3 linked regions of the Mus musculus genome follow. The protein of the gene in region 1 interacts with the protein of each later gene in a pairwise test. Links are inferred from orthologs where the notes say so. Each region holds a gene or a part of one and is shown on either strand. Other genes may lie near its edges. The genes, in order: Ccdc33, Emd and Blk.

The links.
Region 2: the proteins of Ccdc33 (region 1) and Emd interact in binary tests that used the Homo sapiens proteins (3 or more experiments, as listed by UniProt). The two-hybrid records come from large-scale screens. The link is inferred for Mus musculus from reciprocal best matches to the Homo sapiens genes CCDC33 and EMD.
Region 3: the proteins of Ccdc33 (region 1) and Blk interact in a two-hybrid assay, tested with the Homo sapiens proteins (3 studies listed by BioGRID and IntAct). The two-hybrid records come from large-scale screens. The link is inferred for Mus musculus from reciprocal best matches to the Homo sapiens genes CCDC33 and BLK.

What each region holds. Positions count from the first base shown.
Region 1 is NC_000075.6:58,031,259-58,036,136, reverse strand, and holds part of Ccdc33 (coiled-coil domain-containing protein 33), read left to right. Parts: intron 1-1,926; exon of another isoform or gene 1,927-2,036; intron 2,037-2,421; coding exon 2,422-2,581; intron 2,582-2,788; exon of another isoform or gene 2,789-2,825; coding exon 2,826-2,917; exon of another isoform or gene 2,918-3,140; coding exon 3,141-3,272; exon of another isoform or gene 3,273-3,361; coding exon 3,362-3,455; intron 3,456-3,620; exon of another isoform or gene 3,621-3,863; intron 3,864-4,373; coding exon 4,374-4,522; intron 4,523-4,874; coding exon 4,875-4,878.
Region 2 is NC_000086.7:74,253,032-74,258,009, forward strand, and holds Emd (emerin), read left to right. Parts: upstream 1-1,655; 5' UTR 1,656-1,920; coding exon 1,921-2,002; intron 2,003-2,176; coding exon 2,177-2,284; intron 2,285-2,421; coding exon 2,422-2,499; intron 2,500-2,711; coding exon 2,712-2,845; intron 2,846-3,846; coding exon 3,847-3,893; intron 3,894-3,975; coding exon 3,976-4,306; 3' UTR 4,307-4,862; downstream 4,863-4,978. UniProt on the Homo sapiens protein: Stabilizes and promotes the formation of a nuclear actin cortical network. Stimulates actin polymerization in vitro by binding and stabilizing the pointed end of growing filaments. Inhibits beta-catenin activity by preventing its accumulation in the nucleus.
Region 3 is NC_000080.6:63,371,927-63,376,730, reverse strand, and holds the end of Blk (tyrosine-protein kinase Blk), read left to right. Parts: intron 1-684; coding exon 685-835; intron 836-2,408; coding exon 2,409-2,540; intron 2,541-3,133; coding exon 3,134-3,339; 3' UTR 3,340-3,894; downstream 3,895-4,804. UniProt on the Homo sapiens protein: Non-receptor tyrosine kinase involved in B-lymphocyte development, differentiation and signaling. B-cell receptor (BCR) signaling requires a tight regulation of several protein tyrosine kinases and phosphatases, and associated coreceptors.

The sequences.
Region 1 (4,878 bases):
GAGGGGGAGCCAGCAAGCCCCGGGTAGTAAGAAAGAAAGAAAAAGAGTTTAAGTGGAACAACCCGTTGAAACAGAAGTAAGACCAACTCTCTGACACCTGCACAGCCCAACCTGAGCTCACAGCAACACCTAGGCCTCCAGGAGGTCCCAAGTTCCACACATGTCCCTGACACCAAATTGTGTGTGTGTGTGTGTGTGTGTGTGTGTGTGTGTGTGTTTGTGTTTGTGTGTGTGGTCCCAGGTTCAGGGTCCCAGTTAGCACTCTGTCTGAAGATACCAGATGGGCATAGATCTGGGGAAGCCAGAACAGATGCTAGGGAGATAGAGCCAATACTGGCACCAGTCAGAGGGACTATAGCCAGAAGGCTAGACAGCAGTGGCAGATGACTGGTGGTGTCCGATGAGTTCCTGCTGGCTGGGGACTCCCCTCCCCTAGAAAGCCATGGCACACCATGCAGCAGGTGGGAGACTATAGCTGGGATATAGTTGGATTCCGCCCCCAGGCAGCTGGAGACCAGGGGAGAGTTGGATGTAGAGTTGTGTTTTCTGGATCCTGGGAGGCCCACCCACAGGAGCAAGGCATCCCACAGCCCAGAAGTCCACAGGCAGCTCAGAGGGCTCACTTGCCTCCCATCTCTGAGCCGTTCTCTTCCAGAACCTTGCTTGCCTGTATCTCAGATCTCAGTCTCTCTCTCTCTCTCTCTCTCTCTCTCTCTCTCTCTCTCTCTCTCTCTCTCTCTCTCTGTGTGTGTGTGTGTGTGTGTGTGTGTGTGTGTGTGTGTGTGTGTCTACAGATACTGCATGCTTGGAACTTGTGCTGAATAGTAAAGAATATGGTTGGCAAACAAATTCAGGGCTGAAGATAAGGCTCAGGAGTTAAAGTACTTTTCTTGCAAATGTAGGGTCTTGAGTTTGAGGCCAAGCACACATGTAAACACTAGGTACAGTGGAGTGTTTGTAGTGCTAGCATGAAAAGGGGAAAACAGAAAAAAAAAAAAAAAAACCTAAGGACTCACTGACCAAGCAATCTAGTCTAACTGATGAGCTCTGGGTGGAGGAAAACTTGCACTGTTTCAAGGACTGGATCTCTTTCCTGAGGTTGACATTCAAGGCTGAGCATCCACAGGCACCCACACAGGCACCCACACAGGCACCCACACACACAGGCACACACACACACAGGCACACAGGCACACACACACACACAGGCACACACACAGAGGCACACACACACACAGGCACACACACACACAGGCACACACACACAGGCACACACACAGGCACACACACACAGGCACACACACACAGGCACACACACACAGGCACACACACACAGGCACACTCCCCCCCCACACACACACACAGGCACACACACACACAGGCACACACACACACAGGCACACACACACACACACAGGCACCTCACACACACACAGGCACACACACACAGAGGCACACCCCCCCACACCCCCACACACAGGCACACCCACACACGCACGAAATGCATATGAATTCTGCTCAGTTGCCCTGTACGTATATAGGCAGACTTAGTTGTGGTTTGTTTAAAAAAAAAAATGAGAAAGAGAAAAAAAAAAGGAAAAGGAAAAAGAAAACAAAGAACCAAACAGACTCAAAGCCCCATTCAGACCCTGACTTCACTGCCCATTACTCCTAACACTGAGTAGGTTGCTTGCCCCCTCTGGTTTCCTCGGTTTCTTCTGTAAAGTGGTTGTCCCATAGGCTTGCTGGGGGTTGAATGCAGATCAGCACCTAAAGCACTTAGCCGGAGGCCTGGCATGTGGGGGAAGCCAGGGATCATTAAGACTATGGTTATTGCCCTTCCAGACCTAAGTTGGCTTCCTGCCCCCACTCCCTGCATCTCCTCCATCTTATATCTGGATCCTGATCTTGGCCTTGAGATGTTACCTGAGTCTTCAGTGTCTTCTTGGTGTCTCTTCTTGGATGCTGGGCTATTTGGGAAGCTGATGGCAGTCCAGCCCCCAAGTGGCTCTGGTGGGCAGTCTAAGAGACTCCTCCTGTGGAGGAGTTGAGTTAGAAGAGGGAGCGGGAGAAGAGAGAAGGTGAAGAAGTAGATAGGATTTACTCAGGATCTAGAAACATGGCTCCATCCTTTTGAGACTGTTGCCTACAGGTTTCTTAACCCAATACCTGAACCCTATGTTCCCCTGGTATTACATGAATCAGTGTGGTCCCTGAGGAGACACATTTGTGTGGCCCTCCTAATACTCCCAGGAGAGATGAGGACCATGCCCAACCACTCTCTGGGTAATTGCTAGGGTTTGGGGGGGGTACAACCTGAGGGTGACCTTAAGAGTGACTCACTATGGGTGCAGATGTAGAGTGGGATCCTGGGGGGTTGGGCATTGGGTAAGGGTTCAGCTGAGGCTTCTGGGCTTCTAGGAGATGAACAATTACCGGCGGGCCATGCAGAAGATGGCAGAGGACATCCTGGCACTGAAGAAGCAGGCTAACATCCTGGAGGAGGAGAACGGCATGCTGAGGAGCCACCTGAGCCAGCAGAGCATAGAAGAGCAGAGCAGGGCGGAGGAAGAGAACCTGGGTGAGCCCCTGGACACATGCTGGGGCCCAGGCTTACTGTCAGGAGCTAGGGAGCATTCTCCAGATATTGTGTGCCCCATCTCCGGAGTCCCCTACCCCTCCCACTCCTCCCCCCTGTAGACACACTTGTACAACCTACCTAGCTATAATGTCTTAGGAGGGGAAACAGAAAATCCTGGGCCAAGCCCTAGAGCTGAGGTGCGCTTGCCTCTACCTATTCTTGAGCCAGCTTCTTCCCACCCCAGCAGTGTCCATGAAGCAGAAGCTACTGCTGAACGAACTGGATATGAAGAGGCTGCGAGACAGGGTGCAGCACCTGCAAAATGAGCTGATTCGGGTGAGCTAGGGTCGGCTGGACAGAGGGACAGCTCCTCCTCCGGGCACAGTCCTGGGAAGTATCTGGAGCAGAGAGAAAGTCCACAGTGGGGAGGGAAGCCGGCCAGTTCAGGCTTCAGCAGAATCCCACGTGTGCCCTCGTGGCTGGAGTAACTCTCATGGATCCCATGTGTGCCCTCGTGGCTTGGGGAACTCTCATGTACCCATTGGCCTCCACCCTGCAGAAGAATGACCGAGAGAAGGAGCTGCTGCTTCTGTACCAGGCTCAGCAGCCCCAGGCTGCACAGCTGAGGCGCTACCAGGACAAGCTGCAGAAGATGAAGGCCCTGGAGGACACTGTACGGCACCAGGAGAAGGCAGGTTCTGGGGCCAGCTGTGGAGGAGGGGCAGCAGCCTAGAAGTTGTGAGGTCTCAAGCCAGCCCAGCCTTGTCACCTTGTCACCAGGTGATCGAGAAGATGGAGCAGATATTGGAAGAAAGGCTCTGTGAGAGGAAGGAACCAATACCATCAAACAGGCCACAGGGGAAGCCTATCATGGGTGGGTTTGCTCCCCAAGGTAGATCAGAATAAATGACCTTCCAGCTTTTGTCTTGCCCTATCCCTCCTCCCCCCCCCCCAGTTTCACAAGAACCTTCAGAGAAGGGTCAGTTCTCTGTTATGTCTGTGAGCTGGAGAGAGATACCCTGAGAAATATTACTCTCACCTCTCTCAAGTACTGAGAGCTTCCATGGTGATCTGAGCCCTCTTCTATCAGGAAGCCCCTTAGTACACAAGGACAGTGTGTGAGCCAGGCAGAAAGAGACCAGACCTCTAAGGTTGAGGCCCTATGAACCACAGGGTCAGAGAGAGACATCCCCAATGGATGGCCTCCAAGGCTGCAGTCCCCAAGTCCTTGGCTTCCCCAGCTCTTAGCATCTCTCCTATTCTGCCTTCCCTAAGCAAACAGACAAGACCACTCTGATAGTATCCGTTTATTTTCCCCATTGGTGTAAACCACAGCCACCCACAACTGTCAATCAAAAATGGCTCTGATAAGCACAAAAGAATAAAATAACACCTTATCAAGTGGATCATCTCCCGGGCCATGTGAGAATGCTCTCCAAGTATCTCTGTAGTTCTGGCCCTGGGCCCAGTCTTCATGGATGGTTAGGTACTCAGGGGCTGGAAGTCTTTAGAAAACCATGAAATTCTCAGGGAATCTTATTCACCTGGAGTCTGGGTGAGTCTGCAGAGGGCAACCAGGCCGAAGGACCAGAGAGTGACCAGAGAGACAAATACAAGGAGAATCGAGCAGGGAGGGACATGGGGAAAACGTAGGAATCTAAACAGCCTGGGAGGACAGCCCGAGGGATATGGACCTGACTCTACTGGCAAAGGAGAGCCGTTGATACTGAGGCTAATGGGCACATAGAAGCAGCAAAGCCCATCTCGAAAGCACCTGTTCCTGTGTTCACAGCCTCGGGCATTCCTCTGGGCCCCGTGGGAGAGACCCTGGCTGTTGACCTTTACTCCATGCTGCTAGCAGAAAACACGAGGCTTCGGACAGAGCTGGAAAAGAACCGCCAGCAGTCAGCCCCCATCATTCTGCAGCAGCAGGCCCTACCGGTAAGAGCTGCCACACAGGTCTGGCTTGAGCCTGCCGGCACTGGTCAGCAGGTAGCCCACAATCATCCCTCGCATGAACCAAGTTGAAGATTCGGCCCAGAATCTGGGCTTCCCAGCACCCAACAGCACTGGAAACATTCGTACTAGGGCCTTGCTCTTGCGCTCCTAAGATAACTATCTCACCATTGTCTGCCATCCTGGGAGAGAGCAAGGCCCTGGATCACCCTTGACCCCTGAATCCTAACTTCACCTGCCACCTGACTTGCTCCCATCTGGACACCCTCCCACCATGGGGCCTCTCAGGACCTTCTGGGATTGGTGCAGCCTTGGAGAGCCCTTTTCCCCATCCCAGGTGG
Region 2 (4,978 bases), on another chromosome or scaffold:
GATCCATCCAATAGCTGACTGTGAGCATCCACTTATGTGTTTGTTAGGCCCCGGCCTAGTCTCACAAGAGACAGCTATATCAGGTTACTTTCAGCAAATGCTTGCTAGTGTATGCAATGGCAACTCTTCTTCATTAAGCACTTTGTATGTGGTCAAAACTGGGGTCCACCTCCTCACCATTGCCTACTTTAAACTTCCATAGAGAAGTGGCCTGTGAACTTCACTAAAGTGTCATCAGGTCAACCTAGAACTGAGCAAAGTACTCACTATCACTATCACTTAAGACAACCTGTGGGTTACAACCCCTCTGGCAAACCTTGTCTCCAAAAATATTTACATTATGACTCATAAAGTAGCAAAAATTACCATTATAAAGTAGCAACAAAAATATTTTGTGATTGGGAATCACCACAACAGCATTAGGAAGGTTGAGAAGCACTGATTTAAGAGATCAGGCATCCTACACACTTTTTCTACGCGTACCCCTTCTTCTAGATCTCTCCAATAAAGGGCAGCCTACCTAGATCCACATGACTTTGTGTAGAATATAATGGTCATGGTCACTCTTCAAGGCAACCTTTCTCTGATCCAGATCCTTAGTAAGCCTCCATCAATTCCCATGGTTTGCCTCTAGGCCAGCAGTTCAGAACCTCTGGGGTCGCTATCCCTTTGGATCTCACATATCAGATATCCTGCATAACAAATATTTATATTTTAATTTATAGCAATATTGAAATTACATTTATGAAGTACAACACAATAATTTTATGGGTGGGGAGTCACCACAACATGAGGAACTGTATTAAAGGATTGCAGCATTAAGGAGGTTGAGAAATAGTGCTCTAGGCTTTGTACACTTGTCTAGGTCTCTAAGGTCACACCAAGCTTAGAGACTATTCTACTCAGCCAGAGAAGACCTCTCCCCCCAGAATTCCTCAGGGCCCAAGGTAGAACAGTGAGTATGGCAGGTACAAGGTGTACAGATCTACATGCATCACAGGGCAGGCAGGCAGGCAGGCAGGCAGGCGCCCTCTGATTGTGTGCATTGGCATACCCTGGACCTTTGGAAAGCTGCTTGATCCTGTAGTGCTGGTGGCCACTTGGCCCAGTGCTGGCCCCATTTCCTCGCGAATGGAACTAGGCATTAGAGAAGACGACGGTGGGAATGGGCCTGTGCAGGTGTGCAGGCCAGGGTCATGGAGACTGGGAAGACCAAAGGAGATGGGTAGGGAGTGCCAGGGCTCTGTGGGTGTCTATGTTAGGTGATGAGAGCCCTGTCTGACAGCATACAAAGAGCTCTCAGCAGCGTTAGGCGCTCTGGAAGGGTTCGCTCTCAGGATTGCTTTACACTGCTGTGGATCACACTGTGGCTGAGAATCCTAGGCACTGGAACACCGGGGGAATAAAATCAGGAATGAAGCCAGTAACAAAAGTATGTGAGATCTCACAGGTTGGGAAATCTCACAAGCCGGTTTTGGTCAAATCACTTGCCTCATCCCTAGTAAGTTGCGCTCTAAAGCATCCTCTAGTGAGGTCAGCCAGCTCCGCCCCTCGGCGGCCTAGCTCTCAAAGGAAGTCTCAACCGCTGCCGCACGAGTTCTGAAAGCTCCGCCTTCTCCCTGTTCGAGCCAATCTCTCACAAGCGTTACGTTTCTGTTTGCCAGCCCAGCCTGTTCCCTCAGCTAGACCGGTCTGCACCGGCCGTTCTGGCTAGTTTGGGCCTGCCCTGAGGAGCGCGCGCAACCTGCGTAGCCGCGGCTGTGACGCAAATGTGACGGCGGCGTGACGCGCCCACAGCCGCTCTTGAGGCTCTGGCGCTTCTTCTTCTAGGCTCCGAGCGGTTGGTTTCTTGGGCCCTGTCTGTAGGCCCCGGCCGCCCCTGGCGTTCAACACCGCTTCCAGGTGCCGGCCTTGTCTGCCATGGACGACTATGCGGTTTTGTCCGATACTGAGCTGGCCGCAGTGCTACGCCAGTACAACATCCCTCATGGGCCTATTGTGGGTATGCTGCACCCGGTGGCGCTCAGAACCTCTCTTGGTCCACTGCTTTCCCGCGCTCCTCCCTGAGCGTTCTCCCCACCTCTCCCTCCCCTCAAGTCCCCTCCCCGTGTTCCCTTGTGCTCTTGGGGTGCTCGGCTCACGCCCTCTGACCGCTTCGCACCCTGTGTCTGGGCAGGTTCCACTCGCAAGCTCTACGAAAAGAAAATCTTCGAGTACGAGACCCAGAGAAGGAGACTCTTACCCCCCAACTCGTCATCTTCTTCATTCTCCTATCAGTTCTCAGGTGAGCCCTTAACTGCAGAGCCCCAAAGAGCAGCTTGGGGCACACGTCTTAGGGAGGGAGGGTGTGGCCGAAGCTATTGAGGGAGTAGGGGGAAGGCTGGAGATCGAATGGTCCTGTCCCTCCTCCTTCACATGCAGACTTGGATTCAGCCGCCGTGGACTCAGACATGTATGATCTGCCCAAAAAAGAAGACGCCTTACTTTACCAGAGCAAGGGTAAGGCAGGTATAGGGTGGGCACTGATGTTTTTATCCCATGCTTCCGGGATTTGGGCACAGGGAAACCCCAGACCTCCCTCACCTCCTTGTACCAGTTCTCAGTGGCTTCAGAGGGGAGAAACTGACACAGCACACACAGGCTGGGGAGGGAGAAGAGGAGGCCAGTTAAGGGGCACCACTTTTTCCTCTACCACTGTTTTCCTCCCCAAGACTATAATGATGACTACTATGAGGAGAGTTATTTGACCACCAAGACATACGGGGAGCCTGAGTCTGTGGGCATGTCCAAGAGCTTCCGCCAGCCGGGGACCTCACTTGTAGATGCTGATACCTTCCATCACCAGGTGAGTTGGCTGGTAGGTATACCTGGGGTGCAGCCTTAGGGAATTCTAGGTTTGGATAGGTGCAGAGAGTGGATCTTAGGCTTTCAAATCTGGTTAGGGTCAGCATACAGCTGTCGGGTTAAAAATTCTATGTTGGAACCTTCAAAACTATTGGATTTGGGGATGCTCAGCAGAAGAGTATTTACCTATGGTTTCATCTCCAGCAGCACATAACAAATGTTTTGGGGTTTTGGCTTTTTTAAAAGATTTAATTACTTTAATTATACATATGTGTGGCCAATTTTTGTTAGTTTGTGGGTATTTCCCCCCCCCCACTTCACCCCCAGTAATGAAAAATTCCCAGAATTCCAAATATCACACAATTGTAGAAACTATCTGAAACTCACAGAAACACACCTTTGCTAAAAGCATGAGGCAACTCATAGTTAGCTGCTGTGAAGCAGCCCCATATTCCACACCTAAGATTAAAACAAAAACATATTCTTACAATATTTCTGTGTTTCTTAAAAAAGCCAAAATTCCAGAATTCTCACATACATGTCTGTGGGTAGTATGCATGAGTGCTGGCACCTACAGAGGTGAGAATTGTCATATTCCCACTAGAGCTAGAGCTACAGGTAGTTGTAAACTGCCTGATGTGTGTGCTGGAAATTGACCTCAGGTACCTAGGAAGAATAATATGTGCTCTTAACCAGTGAACCACCTCTTCAGCCCACAAACTTTTTTGATCAGAGAATATGTAACAGCTCCTGCACTCTAGTAATTAATCTACGATATAGATTTAAGCCTCCTGAGAATCCAGGGGAATAAAAGGATGCTGGAACAAAGTCAACAGGGTTAGTAACTGAGCAGCAAGGCCCCACAGATAAAGAGGCTCCACATACTCAGAATGGGGGAGGGGGGGGCAATTTTCTGGTCCCTATGATATGATTAGAGCAGGCTAGCCAGAGACATTTAAGGAAAACCATTCTTCCCCATTTCTAATCCTAATTATTCTGCAGGTGCGTGATGACATTTTCTCTTCTTTAGAAGAGGAAGGCAAGGATAGGTGAGTAGTGAACATATGTAGGGACAGGGACAAATTCGAGTCTCAGACTCTCCTGCCTACCTGTTGCCTTCTTTTGCCACAGGGAGCGCCTCATCTATGGCCAAGACAGTGCCTACCAGAGCATCGCACACTACCGCCCCATTTCCAATGTCTCCAGGAGCTCTCTGGGCTTATCATATTATCCTACATCCTCCACCTCTTCTGTGTCCTCCTCTTCATCTTCTCCCTCTTCATGGCTTACCCGACGTGCCATTCGGCCAGAGAAGCAGGCCCCTGCTGCTGCTCTGGGCCAGGATCGACAGGTCCCACTCTGGGGCCAGCTGTTACTCTTCCTGGTCTTTGCTGCCTTTCTGCTCTTTGTTTACTATTCCATACAAGCTGAAGAAGGCAACCCCTTCTGGATGGATCCCTAAGGGTATTGGTTTTAGAGCAGCTCTTACCAGGAGTTTTGGCTGATTGCCTTATCGGTGTTTGCTGGGGGTGGGGAGGGTAGGGGCTTTTTTGTGTGTTCTAGTTGGGTGCAAGGTCTAGCCTAAGGCAATGCTTGTCTCCCACCTCATCCTGCCAAGGAAGCAGCAAATGTTGGCCTTCTACAGCCCAGTAGGCCTACCTGTACCTTCCTCTGGAGCCTCCTAGCCCTATTGCCTCTGACCCTTAGGGTACCGGGGTCTGGTGGGAGGACCTCACTTCATTAGAGGAAAACTTGGTGGTGGCAGTGGTAGTTGTCATGCATGCCTGTTTGTTGTCACCTTTTCAGGGGGTATTAACAAAGACCACCCTGGCTTTGCTTTCATGGACACAATAATAAACATGTTTATTTTTACCTTGTTGATTCTTCCTACTGGGATAGGAGCTGGGCTGCCATGGCACAGGTGGTTGGTTTTAGGTCTCCAAACTCAATGTGGCTTTTCCCTTTGGTTGTGCTTGGCCTTGGGGAAGGAAACAAGTGCTACCCACAGATAAGTCTATGTTTTGGTTGTGGGCTTTATTTCTGGGCCTACTTCCTGAAGTTCTTATAACCACCTAGAAAAATAACTACCGTGTAATCAAATGTGTGGGTAAGCCTATGGGAAATGTAGGCAAAA
Region 3 (4,804 bases), on another chromosome or scaffold:
CCTGGGCAAGTAGGATCCATCTAGAAGCTGGCATCCTGCAAGAGCAAGTGAGAGCTGAAGTCACCTTTTCCATCCATCAGTGAGTGACTGAAGACTTAATGGCCTGGTACAGGTGCTTGGGACAGACAAGGCTCCTCTTCAGTGAGAGTCTGCTCCTCTGGAGCACCTGGGGCAGGGGCAGGGGCAGGGGCAGGGGCAGGGGCAGGGGCAGGGCCTCAGCTACAGTCACCTTATTCAACACTGACCCTAACCTTGGGTCCCAGAGATGGCTTCTCGTGCTCTGGGTAATAACTATGACCTCTCAGGGAAGTGACCCAGCCCATTGGACATTGGTGATTCCAAGGCATGGTTGGCTCCTCTGAGAGAAGTGTCCACTGAGGGAGTAGCCCTGCCCTTCCGTGCTATGCCCTGTTCGTCCTTTCTCCTCCCTGTCTCATTAGAGGCTATCTACAACCCCAGCCTTCTTTGCTATTCCCAGTCCACAGAACCTTGGAGACAATTGTCTGAAAAAGGGGGACAGGCCTGGGGATGTCAGCCTAGCTTCTCTGCTGCCCTGAGTCTGGGTTGGTCTCATGGGAAGGGGTGGATACCTTCTCTCTCCCCTGGGCAGGGCATGTGAAGCTGGCCTTATGAGCTGGTAGGCTCCATCCTTGCTGCCCTTCACCATGTGACCTGTCCCCTCAGGTTGCAGAGGGGATGGCTTACATAGAGCGCATGAATTCCATCCACCGTGACCTGCGGGCAGCCAACATCCTGGTGTCTGAGACGTTGTGCTGCAAAATCGCTGACTTCGGCTTGGCCAGGATCATTGACAGTGAATACACTGCCCAAGAGGGTGAGCAGAGTGTGTGAGTGTACACACACTCGCGCGCGCACGCACACACACACACACACACACACACACACACGAAAGCCTTTGAACGTCTCAACTCTCTGGAGCCCCCTTGAATGTCTCCTTGCTGTTGGAGATGACTAGGGAGACCCATGGTCCTTGTGTTTGGTCCTTTCCCACCCAGCTCAGCACTTCCTTTCCCTAGATGGGAGGGGGTGGCAGAGAAGCAACTCAAGCCCCTTGGGAGTCTTCATTCAGAATGGCCTTGGAATGCTCAGCTATCTCCTCCCCATCCTGGAGACTCCAGTGCATATAAATCTAGAAGGATGGAGGAGAAGACCTGCACTTTCTTCCCCTTGTTTCACCCTCTGATCCCCAGACTAAGTTGAGAAAATCCTCCTGTGGAAGGAGGGTGTCAGGGAGCACAGGTTGGAAAACACAGCTCTAACTAAAGCATGAGCATCCAACCCTTGCACCCGAAGGGTTGCATGGATGCTCTTCTCTTACTGTGAGTGAGGAAAATTGACTTTGCAGGAGGACTCTGGTACATTGATCAAGCAAGCAGTACTGGTTTAGTGCATTAATCAGTGGATTCAGGAGGAGAGCCACATCTTAGGGGCCGATAACCCCCTCAGGGGACTTCCAACTGGCTCCCCAGACAGTGAAACCATCAGGGGGGAGGTGGCCAATGCCACCTCAGCCTGAGGTTGGCTCTCAGTGCCAACCAAGGCTGTAGCCATCACGGTCTGAACTGAGATGGGCCTTGCTATCCCTCCACACAGTGGCCCTCAGAGGTGTCTGTCTGAGTGTCAGGTTTGCCTTTTGCAGGAAAGCACGGACTGAAGCCCGCCCATACCACGGTCCCTGCCGCTGGACAAGGCCGAGTGAGATAGGAAAGGATGCTTCCATCCCAGATGGACATGCACAGGGCTGGGGACATAGCTCAGTCAGCAGACTGCCTCTCTGGCATGAAGCCCGTGGTTTCATATTCAGTGGAGTATAAATGGGGCATGCTGGTGCATGGCTGTGATCCCAGCACAGTGGAAGGTGATGGCAGGAGGATTAGGAGTTCAAGGTTACCCCTGGCTACGTACGCTCTAGTTGGAGGCCAGTCTGGGATATACACAAGACTCTGTCTCCAAAAAATCAAAATCAAACAAAACAGTAAGTCAGATGGAAGCATATATGGGTGGTACTGGTTTTGTTGTTGGTTTTGTTTTTGCTTTTTTGGTTTGATTTGGTTTGGTTTTTGGTTTTCAAAGACAGGCTCCTCTATGTAGCCCTTGCTGTCCTTGAACTTACTCTGTGGACCAGGTTGGCCTTGAACTCAGAGATCCAAATGCCTCTGCCTCCTAAATGCTGGGATCAAAGGTGTGCACCACACCACCCAGGGACATCAACACTGTTTTTAAGAACTCCTAGGATAGTAGCAAGTGACTGTGTCTTCCTATATCCTCATGTATCCAGTGTACACATCCTGCAGGCCCTCCAGTGGGAACGGGCAGATAGGGGCAGGACTCTGTGGGTTGGGGGTAGATGGTTGGCTGTCCCTGGAGCTACTGCACTTTCCTGGCAGGGGCCAAGTTCCCCATCAAGTGGACCGCCCCGGAGGCCATCCACTTCGGGGTGTTTACCATCAAGGCTGATGTGTGGTCCTTCGGAGTCTTGCTGATGGAGATTGTCACCTATGGGCGCGTTCCCTACCCAGGTAGGCATTGTCCCTGTCCTTCCTACCATCCTCCTGGGACATCCTGATGGTGACTCGCCAGGCTCACTGACTGTGGGTATGTCACACTGGTGAGAGCAGGGTCCTGTCACAGGGACTGAAGCCCAGCCCTGCATTGTGGGCTTCCTCTCCTTCTGCACACTGCTCAGGGCCACAGGAAGAGGGAGAGGGGGAGGAGGAGGAGGGGGAGGGGAGGGAGAGGGGGANGTANATGGATAGGGAGAGGGAGAGGGAGAGGGAGAGGGAGAGGGAGATGGAGATTANGGTGGAATTAGATGGCGTAAGAGACAGGTGTAATGGCTCAAGCTTGTGATTCCAGCCCTTGGGAGGCTGAGACAGACAGATCTCAAGTTCAAGGCCAGTCTGGCCTATACAAGAAGACCTGTGTGAAAAGCCAAAGTAGTACTACGATCCTGGCACCTATGTGACCTTCCAGGGTTACACTAGCCATAGTGTATCAGAGCCCACTCTTTCCCTTCTAGTGCCGGTCAGGGCCTAGTCTAGTGCCCTCAGGGCCAGTGACTGCACTCCTGGAGCACCACCAGCCCTGAAGCTCCCTGTCTGCCCTCCTGTAGGAATGAGCAACCCTGAGGTCATCCGTAGCCTGGAGCACGGCTACCGAATGCCATGCCCGGAGACATGTCCACCGGAGTTGTACAATGATATCATCACTGAGTGCTGGCGGGGCCGGCCAGAGGAGCGGCCTACCTTTGAGTTCCTGCAGTCGGTGTTGGAGGACTTCTACACAGCCACGGAGGGCCAATATGAGCTGCAGCCCTAGCAACCAATGGTCTCTTCAGGGCTCCCAGCCTGAGCCTCCTTCTGGACTCTGACTTTGGGTTAATATGTTCACACTTAGCTCTTCTTCCAGGTAGGTTGCAGAATCAGGGAAGAATGGTGTGCCTGCTTCTCAAGTGAGGGAGCCAGGAGACAAAGATGGCTTCATGGTGAGGCATGAGCTCTCAAGGCACAACCTCGGTCCACCTTTCACTGGCTGTGTGCCTTTGGCCAAGTTACTTTGCTGCTCTGTGTCGTCTCTTCCTTGAATGTAAAATGAGCAAGGATTGTGTTAGAACTTACCTCCAGTTGTGTTCAGACCCCGATAGTCCCGAAATCAGTCTGACCAGTTAGCGATGGACAGGATGTCAGGCTGTCATAACCCAGAGTGCAATCAGAGCTCCCATTTCTCTCACCTTTTCAGTCTCATCAGCAAGTGCCTCCCTGTCTGCTGCTTCAGAACTATGGGTCAATCCTCCAGGTCCCCTGGCTGTGTGCCCCCTACCCATCCCTGCATGCACACTTTGGGACTTTTCTATAATAAAGTCATGAGAATTGTACCTTTCCCCTGGTCTTTACCAGTGACATGAACAGATGTGGCACACGAGATGTGTGTAGGAGGTGGGGAGCACCTTGCCCCAACCCTACCCCATTCCTCAGCAAAGGACACTGGGTGTGACTGACACTGTCTTTCCTGGCCAGCAGGTGGCGATCTCACCCCACAAACCTGTATCTGGGACTCCATGGACGCAAGCACCTTGAGTTCCAAGTTTCCCTAGAACATGGACAGAAAGCCATGAGATGGGGCGGTGATCTCCCCAAGTGTGGAGGCTCTCTCGCCTGTTTTTCTGTCTCCCATTCATCCTGTTTTGTTTATATAGGTGGGGTGGGGGGATAAGTTTATAGAAAAATAAGTAGAAAGGGTCCAGTCTCCATAAACCCTCAACCCTTTTAGATGTCAGCACCTTGCAATAGTGAGCCCACTTGCTCCTCCAGAGGGGCTGGGATCAACACACTTCACACTTGGGTTCACACCCTACCTATACTCCGTGTTCCACCAAAGCACAAGATGATGGATCCATCAAGCCCAAATTATACAGAATAGTCCTCCTGGCCTCAGAATCCCCCAGTGTCTCCCCTCATGCCAAGGTTACAGGCACCCACGCTCATGATGGCATTTTACATGAGCACTGAGGATTCAGATACAAGTCCTCATGTGCGCCGGGCAAGCATTCCCCCTAAGCCCTATCCACAACCCGTGGCTTTGTATTTCAATGTTCCCAGCTGGCACTGATGACTGCCCAAGGATCCGGATTTTGGCAGCTGAGCTGAGTGAGCTACTGAGGGATATTATTTCTCAGGAAAACTGGCTCTGTGTGACTTCCCCATGGCTCTCCCCAGGTCTGCTGTAGAGGTGACATCAAAGGCTGACTTACTCCTCTCAGGGAGGAGGGCCTTTCTCCTTCCAG